Linked DNA regions of Arabidopsis thaliana. The protein of the gene in region 1 interacts with the protein of each later gene in a pairwise test. Each region holds a gene or a part of one and is shown in the gene's direction. Other genes may lie near its edges.

Evidence for each region. The genes of interacting proteins can lie anywhere in the genome.
Region 2: the proteins of AT1G68030 (region 1) and AT1G29950 interact in a two-hybrid assay, tested with the Arabidopsis thaliana proteins (one large-scale study listed by BioGRID).

What each region holds. Positions count from the first base shown.
Region 1 is NC_003070.9:25,499,878-25,503,700, reverse strand, and holds AT1G68030 (RING/FYVE/PHD zinc finger superfamily protein), read left to right. Parts: upstream 1-1,897; 5' UTR 1,898-2,031; intron 2,032-2,133; 5' UTR 2,134-2,153; coding exon 2,154-2,280; intron 2,281-2,325; exon of another isoform or gene 2,326-2,351; coding exon 2,352-2,545; intron 2,546-2,618; coding exon 2,619-2,726; intron 2,727-2,804; coding exon 2,805-3,323; downstream 3,324-3,823. Other genes in the region: AT1G68040 (S-adenosyl-L-methionine-dependent methyltransferases superfamily protein), read right to left, coding at 739-825; ATTPS6 (UDP-Glycosyltransferase / trehalose-phosphatase family protein), read right to left, coding at 3,460-3,747.
Region 2 is NC_003070.9:10,489,763-10,497,158, forward strand, and holds AT1G29950 (basic helix-loop-helix (bHLH) DNA-binding superfamily protein), read left to right. Parts: upstream 1-1,935; 5' UTR 1,936-2,071; intron 2,072-2,212; exon of another isoform or gene 2,213-2,592; intron 2,593-2,673; 5' UTR 2,674-3,135; intron 3,136-3,303; 5' UTR 3,304-3,698; coding exon 3,699-4,454; 3' UTR 4,455-4,836; downstream 4,837-7,396. Other genes in the region: AT1G29960 (Peptidase S24/S26A/S26B/S26C family protein), read left to right, coding at 5,051-5,176, 5,265-5,489, 5,803-5,913, 6,042-6,089; AGL64 (AGAMOUS-like 64), read left to right, coding at 6,968-7,396.

The sequences.
Region 1 (3,823 bases):
TGTTTTTTTGTGTGGCTCGATGAGTTCTCGACATTTTAATATCGTTATTGAAGTTTCCTTTCTTTTTTGAAGTACATAACAAGGAACCAAATTTTGATTAAAAAAAGTCATATATATATATATAAGAGATGATAAAATGAATTCATGAGCTTCCAATTGATCCGAAAAGCCAGCAAAGTAACATGTGTGTATTCGAAAATCAACTGATCATAATCTTAATTTGTCTCTATGAAAATTACGAACCAAGGTTTATTAGTTTTTGACAAATATTATATTATTTTACAAAATCATCATAATATCCTAAATTCAACTCATCATTTTAATGAAATTAAAAAAAAAAAGAAATCTTCAAAACTATGTTATTAATATCCAAATAACCGAACTCAATTATAATATGATGAACCTGAAAAGTTATAACTCTACAATTTTCGTTTCTTTCAATTCTACTATTTATTCATATTGAAAAACATGATTCCATTTATCTTTCTTTAGTATTTAGAACATTTATCAGATATTTTGTAATTATTCCGTAATCTCATACCGCTTCTTTACTATCTCTTATCTCTTTAAAATTATTCAGTAATCATACACTTTTTTTTCTACCTGCAAGTTTTTTTTTTTTTTTTGCATCACTAATTGGGAACCATGAAAAAAAGAACAAACAATAGTGGAAGAAAAAAAAAAATAAAGATAAGAAAAAAAATATAGAAAAATGGAATAAAAGCTCTGAAAATAGACCTGCAAATGAGAATTCTTAGAGTAGCTGTTCGGACCATCTCCCCCACTCATAGGAAGTGAGTTACGAACAATCTCCACTTTTCCCATTATACTTTTTTTGATTTGCGTCTATACTTTGGCTATGTCTCGCCTATCATTTATATAGGCCATGCACTTACCACGTAGTGCTTGATATTATATTTACTTTAACAATAATTGAAACCCTCTTGAATTGAACTATACAACACATACACACACGCGATTATATGCGTATAAAAACAAGAAATTAATACAAGAATTTGCTATCACACATACACAAATCAAAGTACAATGTAGAAAAATATTTTTTGAAAAGAATAAGTTCGAATATATAGTACAATTTTTTTAATTGTAATCAATAAATTTGTTCTTCAAATCACTTAAGATGGCCAATTATCTAATAAGTAAGAATCTTATTACTATAAGTTATAGACTAGCTACTACTCTACTAGCTAGGGAGAATCATCATTGGAGTGGAATTCATTGTTTTCTTTTTTGGTGCAACTATAATAGATGGGTTTTAAGCCAATAAAATTCTTACAAACCAATATAGTACACTAGTCATTGGTTTCATTCACTGAGCTTAGACGATCCCATATCCATATCCAATGAACTACTACTACATATGTTTTTAATTAAATAGAGAAGCTAATACTGAATTATCATCAGTGGTTATTATGACTGTGGTCCTAATACATTACGTACAAGACGACCACAATACATATATTATTTTCTTTTAAAAAATTGAGTATTATTTCTGAACTAAACTATAGGTCTTGCGTGGGAAAACTACGTAATCGTAGGGGCATCAAACTAATAATTAAATCATAGGTTAAACTACGATAATATACCCATTCATCTTCAAAGGAGATGCTCTGTACTAATATATCCAAGAATGAATCAAAAGATGCCAAAATATATGTTTATAAACATAAATCTCTGTTTATATCTCTATCAATGCGTTTCTTGATTCTTTCATAATTAATAAGAGATATGTTATTGTTATATAAACAAAAATAATAGAACAAGCAGATAACTGAACCAAATAAAATTTTGGTAAAATAAAACGCTATTCTGCCTAACTTAAGAACATATCAGAAAACGCTATGGGCCTATTATTGGGCTTGGGCCTAGGATCTTTCTGGGAAAGAAAACGCTCATCTTTCTCAACACAAGTGAAATTTCTCCAGTGCTTGCTTGAATTCTGCAAATTTGGCGGTCTCCAGCGAGAGAGAGCTATTCAGTCTTCAAATTCTCTCCGTTGAGAAAAAAGAGGTACACTTGTGTTTCATTTTTCTCGGAAAGTACGATTTTATTTCTATTTTTTTTGGTTCTCTTCACGAATCTGAAGACTGATTTTTCCGTCTCTGTCAACAGCTGCTATTTTATTCGTGTCGATGATGGAGCCTCCGAATTCAAACAGTGTCTGTGATCGCTTTGTGACTGGGAATTTAGACCTTGATAACTGGATTTGGATTATTGAGTACTTTGCCAAATTCAAAACTGAGCTTTGGATGTTAAATGGTAATTGAATTTTTAATTGCATCAGTTTCTTTGAAATTTCAATTTCTGAGATTTTGTTTTATTATTGCAAGATGTCTTTGAATTGGCTCCTAAGCTTCCAGATTATTTGGGTGAATATACAAATGAGATGGTAGCTTTCAGATGCCTAGCTTCTTTGTTTGATTCTCATGTTGTTTCTGTTACTACTACTACTACTACTACCTCAATGATCGAGTTTGATTCCTCTGAGAGCTGTGAATATGTACTCCAATGTATCTTAGATGAGGTACTAATCTTTCATTTCCTTTTCAATGTGGTTTCTTGATCTTACTTAGATTGCTTGATTCTTCGTTTTCTAGATACCGTTATCGGAACTGAAACCGGGTGCACCGGGTTTAACGAAGTGGAATCTTCAACCTTTTATCAAACACAAGCTTCTTTCTCTACCAAAATGTGCTTTGGAACTGGTATTATATAAGTTTTGCTTTGAAGTTCCTTTTAGTTTGAGAGCACTATAAGGCTTATGTTTGTTTTGTTTTGATCAGATGATTGAACCATCATCATGTGAGAATGATACTCAAGTGTCTCCTTGTAGTGAGGAAGAGACTCTGAGAAGTGATGGCAAAGAGAATGACCGAGTTACTCCTCCAATGGATGAGCCAGATCTTACGGGAAGAACAGAAGAGGGAGAGTCATTTTCTCGTGGGGCTGATGAGTTGCTCGATAGAAGAAATGCCGGATTTCGATATGAAAGCGAAAATGATGGTAGTCATTTGTCAAGTCCTGTAGAGAAAATATACAGATGTGTTAACTGCAAAGAAAGTGGGAAGCTGTTGTTTTGCTCTAGTGATGGCTGTGAAGTCATGGTTCATCAGAAGTGTTTGGATTCACCACCTTCTTACCATGATGCTGGAGACTTTTACTGCTCTCTCTGCGCTTTAACCTGTCCTTCAGCTGAATATGTTCAATTTCAAGATGAAGTGGCTAAAGCAAAGAGGAAATTAGTTTCGTTTCTTAGACTAATGTCAGAGGTTAACAAGAAGAAATCTATTGAAGGAACCTGAACATTTTGTAGGATGTAAAGCCTTACTCATATATTCTAAGATTGTCAACAAACATAAGATCTCTCTTTGTTACAATTTTCCGTGGTAGATATACAAACATAAGATCTCTAGTCTCTGATACTTTCTCTGTGATTGTTTAAACAGGAGTGATCTGGTCTGTAACAGAAGCTAAACCATGCATTAACCTGACAATCTCAGTAGTGTCATCCAGGTAATACTTGGCCTTGCTAGGCTTTTGACCGACAGTACAAGCGAAAATCTCAGCTCTTGGGGCAATCGAAGGGCCTTCAGTGGAACTGCAGATCACCTCAAACATGTCTTCGTCAGACCGGTCATCTCCAATACATAGAACAAACTCAGGAAGTGTTCCTCTTTCTTGCATCATCGAAAGCATCCTTCTCGCTATAAGTCCCTTGCTCACGCCCTGCATGACAACAACAAGAACTAAGAAGACTCTACAAATGGAAACATATGCCAAGGTTTTTTGGGGAATTGAACTG
Region 2 (7,396 bases), about 15 Mb from region 1:
TATGGGGTTGGGACAAGAGCCCAAAGAGAGAGAAGAGTGTGTCACTGTGTCGTCTCTAAAACTACAAATAAAAATTGTCAAAGAAGAGAGAGTTTGGTTTTTTGGTGGGAGCTATAGAGGTCCACAAAAGCTTTTCACGCGTGCTAAAGGAGCAACCAAACCAACGGTCACGATCAAGGCCGCATTAAACGGAAACCATTTGTGATTGTTTCATCCAACGGCTCACACTTTCCCTTGTTTGACTCTCTTCTGTCCATCCCCTCACGCGTGCTCCCTCTTCTTGTTTTTTTTTTTCCATTTAATTTCCACTATTTATTATTTTATCATAACATCTATTTTATTTTTATGTTTTAAAAAACTTTTCATTCAAGAAAATCCACTTACATAGTGATATACATGGGTTAAACACTGTAATCATAGTGTGTTCCATCTTTACAGAAATGGATAACATATTTTCTACATACAGTAATTCTTTTTTCCTAAAGAGAAGTTGTTTGAGTTTTTACTATCCACTTACATAGTGATATACATGAGTTTTTTAATAGACCTAATCTAAAGCATGACACCGGTCAAATAGAGTGATTTAGTAAATTTTACTAGATACAGTAAAAACTCTATAAATTAATAATGGTGAGCCATAAAATTTTATTAATTTATAGTGATATTAATTTATCCTCTAAATTAATATATATTAATTTACCGTATAAGTTAATAAATATTAATTTATAGAAATATTTACGTAAAGTACGATACTATATTCTTTTAAAAATATTTCTTAATGTAATTTTCTATATGCTTTGTTGTTTGCATATATAATTATGTTAGGTTTTTATTTTAATTTGACTTCTTTAATTTATTTTCGGTAAGATTTGTATTTGTATATCTACGACATTAACGTGAACGTAAACGTAAACATGAAAGTTAATCCAGTTTCTCTTTACACAAATCATAGTAATGCTTTCTCAAATAAAAGATTTTATAAAATCAACTATGACGGATCAAATACGCAAATAGTTATGTGAGTACAACAGAGATCATATCAGTTGTATTTTAAAAAGAGTTGTAATTATAGCTTGAACAAAAATTTCATATAAAAATTAGTCTTAAAATATATATTTAAGATCTATAATTATTAATTTATAATATTATTGGGACTATAATTTTACATAGGAATTTTAAAAAAATGATTATCTTATTATTTTATTGATTTTGGTTAATTTTTATATTGGCACAACTTGGAACCTACAAAATTTATTAATTTACCGTGTTTATTAATTTATCGAGTATTAATTTATAGAGTTTCTACTGTAATAGTAATATCCACTTTTATAGTTAGATAGTGAAATAGTTAAAGAATTACTTATGCCGAAAGAAACAGATTAAAGAAACTGAACATTATGAAAAGATTAAGAAACAAATATTTTGTTTGAGAAAAAGTTAAGAAACAATATAGGTATCACGACACTCTTATACTTTGTTGGATTTAAATAACACTACTAATAAAAATGTGTCATCTTTCTACTCCAAGATTTTTTTTTATCTAATCTAACAAGTAAAAAGACATATTTTGTCCAAGCTTTTTACCTTTTTATCTTGGATGAATCAAATTAATAGGAGTGCATTTTTTTTTTTTGAAAATTCCAAAAATTTGCGGTAAAGTTAAACATCTTTTTGCTCCACATTTGAAAAAACAAAACAAGTAGATTCACGCACGAAAAGCGTGAAACGAAATTATTAACTTTAAACAATGTTTGTTTGTGTAGTGACTAGTGTAGTGTGTGTGAGTGAGTGATTAAAGAAATGAAAATGGGCAAACCAAACGAAAAAAAACAAACCGCACCAGAAAAAGAAAGCCACGCTCGCTCGCTCTCTTCTCCTTATTTCTCTACCCTTCCCTTCTCTCTCTCTTTTTGCCACACACATCATTCTCTCTTTAGATCTTCTTCTTCTTCTCCTCTGTAACAACAAAACAAAAAAATCACTCTTTCGAATTTGATCAGATTCTTCTAAAGCTTTAGTTTTTACGCATCACCGATTCATTTGATCCAAAGGGTTTTTGATTTCTTCTACGGTATGAATGTTTTCTGCTTCTTTCTTTCTTTATACCGCCGCAATTTCTGACTTATTAGGACTTATATGTTTTTTCTTTGTCTTGTAATTAGTACTTTGACGGTATCTCATAAATAGCTATTTTATGGTTTATCAGATGATTGCTGAATTTGATTTTTCTATTGAATGTTCTGTCTTGTTTATGTTTGTTTGTGTTATTATTAATAAACTATTCATGATCGCGTAAAGATTCTTTCTTTTAACAAGTCCAATTCTTTTGTTGAGGTTTTGTTTCCTCTATGTGTTCTGTTTTGAAGCAGAGTTGTTAAGTTATTTTGATTTTGGTTTGTGATCATGAAATCGAAAAACATTTATTCTGGATCCGATGTTAATGTCTTTAGTCATGATCCTATCTTTTTGTTTGTTGTACGCAGATGCCTAAAGTTGTGCTTTTTTATTATCTGAATCAGGAATTAGAAATTTCCCATTTTTTTGTTTCTCTGTTTTGTTTTGCCAGTAGTTATTTTAGGATTCTACCTCGAAGTTAGTGCCTTTCAACTTCCTATACTGAAAATATATTAGTATTTGAATAGCGTTGGTCCTAATTTTTGTTTGTTTGTGCAGAGTTTGTGAGAAGAGGAACGGTATTTAATACACTTACAAATTTGATATTGGAAGAACCAAAGATGCCCTGGACAGCATTCTTCATGTTTTTCAACAGAACTTGCACTCGTCTGGTTGTCTTTTTCCTCGTTATTCTGTAATTTTGTTCCTTTCAGGTGAGCCAGCCTCTCATTTCACATCTTGTGTTTTTGTCTTACATTGGTACCTTGTGGAAGCAAATTTTGTTGTTGCCACCTTATATACAGCTTCTTGTGTTAAAACTATTGGCATCTCTTCCTTGTTTTGCAGGTGTTGTTTCCGGAATTCGGAATAGTTCTTTGTTGTTGTGCTTATTATACTGGTTAGTTTGTGAGAATGTGCATTGTTGGAAACAAGAAGGGAAACCGATCATTGAAGGAAATAGGAACTTTTATGATGACTACATGTTTCATTGCTAATTACCAATCCGTTCAAGTTTGCCAGGTACATGCCTCTCTTTGATTTAGTATTTCCTAACACTTCTATCGCTTAGGCAACACTGATTTATGTCATTAAAAGAACTCTATCCTCTTGATGACATGTGGATAGCTATTTGTTAGAGTATTAACCATAGTTTTTCTGATATTCAACCTTTCTTATAAATCATTGCAGGCTGAATATTTCAGACAGTTGCTTAAGCCTGTAACGTAGTCTAGCGTCTGGAGTTTTCGGAAATTGGGGTTTTGAGCGGCTATCTACTTTTGATTTCGAAAAAATTTACTGTGAGTTGTTAAAGAGTCTGGTATTCTGAAGAGCTGTCTGTGGGGGAGCTTCTGGTTTGGGGGGTAAGGGCTCTGGTGGAAACTCGTGATATCTTTAGTATGATGGCCATAACTTGATATAGCATTTGGTTCCGTGTGTCAACTTAGTGTAGTAGTAACTGAGCAGCTGGAAGCTTACAAAGGCGACAAATCGGTAGTAGAAAATATTCAAGCAGCTTGCAGTTTGAGGTGTACAACTTGTTTTTCTCTTTGCGTTTCCTTTTTTACGTTTGCACGGGTTTTCTGATGCAGAACAATCAGTTTCCTCACTTCTCAGATGAAGTGGGTGACAGAAATATGCACAACCCGTATGCATCAGGGTCATCCTATGATGCTTTGTTCCCACCATGTGCAAAGTTGCCATACCATGGTGTTGAACTTCAACCGTCTGCGGTCTGTCCAAAGAACTTTGTCATCTTCGATCAAACATATGACCGCAGCCAAGTGATGTACCATCCTGAGCTGACTCATAAGCTCATGAATACCCCTTCGTTGAACAATTTAGCTTCGACGTTTCAGAACGAGTATGTTGGGGGAAGTTATGGTAACTATGGTAACTATGAGCAAGAAGTATCCTCTTCTTATCAAGAAGATCCAAATGAGATCGATGCTCTCTTGAGCGCAGATGAAGATTATGAAGAGAATGATGATAATGAAGGTGAAGAGGATGGTGGTGATTCAGAAGAAGTCAGCACTGCTCGTACTTCTTCCAGGGATTATGGAAACACCACAGCAGAATCTTGTTGTTCCAGTTATGGTTACAACAACAACAACAACAACAACTCAAGGAAGCAGAGTTTATCGGGCAGTGCTAGTAGTAGTAACAATGATGGGAAAGGACGTAAAAAGATGAAGAAGATGATGGGAGTATTGAGGAGAATTGTCCCTGGAGGAGAACAGATGAATACAGCTTGCGTTCTTGATGAAGCTGTTCAGTATCTCAAGTCACTTAAAATCGAAGCTCAGAAACTTGGCGTTGGACATTTCTCAAACCAATCTTGAATGCTACCGATATTCGGTTCTTCCATCACTATTGTTTCTCGGGAGGTAAATCATCGGTCTAGCGCTATCTGGACCTTTCTCTTTATTTTCCTCCCTCTATACTCACTTCCTTTTGTTGGCAGGATGGTATCTATTTTATGTTTGAATCTCTCTATGTATTTTGCTTTTTGTGTGTTACTGCTTCGATGAAGAAGCAAGGTTTGAACAAGTACTTGTGGATTTGATTTGAGATTTTAATTTGTATGGTTTTACTTTCACTGTAATCATTTGACTATGAACTACAATTATCATTATGTATTTGCTTCTACATAGTTTTAAACATTTGGTCTTCCTTCTACTGAACAATGTAAGGGCCATCATTTTGAAAAGTCACGCTTATACCATAAAACGGGTCCTATACGTAACCAAAATTCAATTTCTGATGGAAATTAACTGGGTTATTAAATAACCGGGTTTATAAATTGGGTTATGATTACATTTTATTTTACACAGTATAGCTCAACGATTCGTCTCAAAGCTTCACACTTTCGTGAAATCTGCAGACTTTGTGTAGTTCTCAAATCTCGATTCGTTGGATTCAGTTGAAGAAATAGGCAATGGCGACTCCGTCGTCGTCTTTCTGGAACACAGCTTCACGAGAAGCCATGAAAAGCGGCGTGTTACTCGCGAAACTCTACTGCTTTCTTCATGTAACAACAAACTATCTCGGATTCATGGCTTATGTGAGTCAATCGAAATCTCTCTTCTTTTTTGGTGTAAATCGAATTCGTTATTGAAAATTTACCATAAAGATGTAGTCTTTTTGAGCAGGCTTATGGTCCGAGCATGACTCCGACGCTTCATCCTTCGGGAAATGTGTTATTAGCGGAGAGAATCTCGAAGCGGTATCAGAAACCGAGTCGTGGAGATATAGTTGTGATACGATCTCCAGAAAACCCTAATAAGACTCCAATTAAAAGAGTTATTGGTATTGAAGGTGATTGTATAAGCTTTGTGATTGATTCAAGGAAGAGTGATGAATCTCAAACCATTGTGGTATGTTTTGTTACTTAACCTTCTTCCTTGTTGACTTCACTTCACTTTGGTTTTGCTTATGGATGAGATTTTTGAATGTTGTACTTAGAGAACTGAGTTTGAAGAAGGTAGATACATTGTTGAGAAATTGAGTGATCAGAGTTGAAACAAGTTGTTAATTAGTATTGAGCTCGATTTAGCTGATTGCAATTCATGGAAAATTTTGAATCTTTTAGCAACGTTAGTGTTATTGGTGTATATTACAATTTCCTTTGGATTGTTTAGTTTGTTGGATTAATGGCGAATTGATCTTTCGATGTTTTTTTGGTTTTAGGTTCCTAAAGGACATGTCTTTGTTCAAGGTGACTATACTCATAACTCACGAGACTCAAGAAACTTTGGTACTGTACCTTACGGTCTTATTCAAGGCAGAGTGCTTTGGAGGGTATAAACTTTTTGTCATTAACTTACAAATATAGTTAGATTATCTGATTTCGGAACTTCAAATGTGTTATTTGCATTTGTTTTGGTAAATCTATTTGGCTAATCTTCGGTATGTATAATAATGTGTAGGTTTGGCCATTTCAAGATTTTGGACCGCTTGGACCAACCCCAACTTAGCATACGAGTTAGCTTGGTCATTAGGCCAATGAGATGACCGAGGCAGATTGGTAGTATGGTTAATCGTTGTTGCCGAGTGAGTCTGGCTCATGACTGACTATGAGATGCAGGATCATCATACCATTCACGAAGATGGGAGAATCTAAACGCTCAGGAAAAGTGAGTATATGGTTTAGACTTGAGAGCACGTAACATTATGTATTTTTGGTCTGACGCTGTATGTGAGAGTCGCCTCTGTATCAAAAAGTTAAAACAAACATCGAATGTTTTGTGTGAAGCCAAGATTATTCATGGGAAAATCTTATAACCATTTAAAAATACTACTTGATCAATAGCATTTCCCCACATTTTAAAGATTGCTCTATTTTCACTTAAATCAATCATGGTGATACCAATTGGTGGTAACGTCAAGTTTGTCAAGCCAAACTGTAGGGATTTTCTTAATTGTGTGTCAAATAATTTTTAAAACAATCATTGTGATTTATTTTCTGTTTTCCCACATATTTGATAGTTATTTAAAATCGTAGTTTCGACTATCACAATTTTTACCAATTGGTTATAAAAATTTATATAGTCAAAGTCCTTACAAAAAAAGTTTTTCCAGTCAAAGTCTCTACATCCAACATTAACAATTGTTATCAATCAACCATAACTATGCGGATAATCAATATTACCAACCTTCCAAACATTAATCTAAGAATTGACTAACTTTTATGCAATTTAAATTACTACCATTTTTCCATCTATATAAACCCTATCTTGCACCCACAAAAAAAACATATTCCTTGGCTAAAGCCAAAAACAGCAAACAAATACTTAGTTTAAATTTCTCTTATTTTTTTATAGCCAATAAACTCATAATTTTGTTTTTCTCCAAAATGAAACCCAAGAAAACCAAAGGAAAACAAAGGATTAACATCAAGAAAATTGAAAAAGACGAAGACAGATTGGTCACATTGTCTAAGCGTCGAAATGGTATCTACACTAAACTCAGTGAGCTTTCCATTCTCTGTGGTGCTGAAGTTGCGTTTCTCGGGTATTCTTGCTCTGGAAAACCATACACATTCGGCAGTCCGTCCTTCCAAGCCGTGGCAGAGCGGTTTCTCAACGGCGAGGCCTCGTCGTCTTCTTCATCATCGTTGCAACGATCGGTCATGAATGCTCATCAGCAAGCGAAGATTCAAGAGCTTTGCAAAGTATACAATAGATTGGTGGAGGAGATAACGGTGGAAGAAGTCAAATTAAAGAAGACGGCTGCATTGGCGGAGATGATGCCCATGAATGAGGATGCGTGGTGGAAAGTGGAT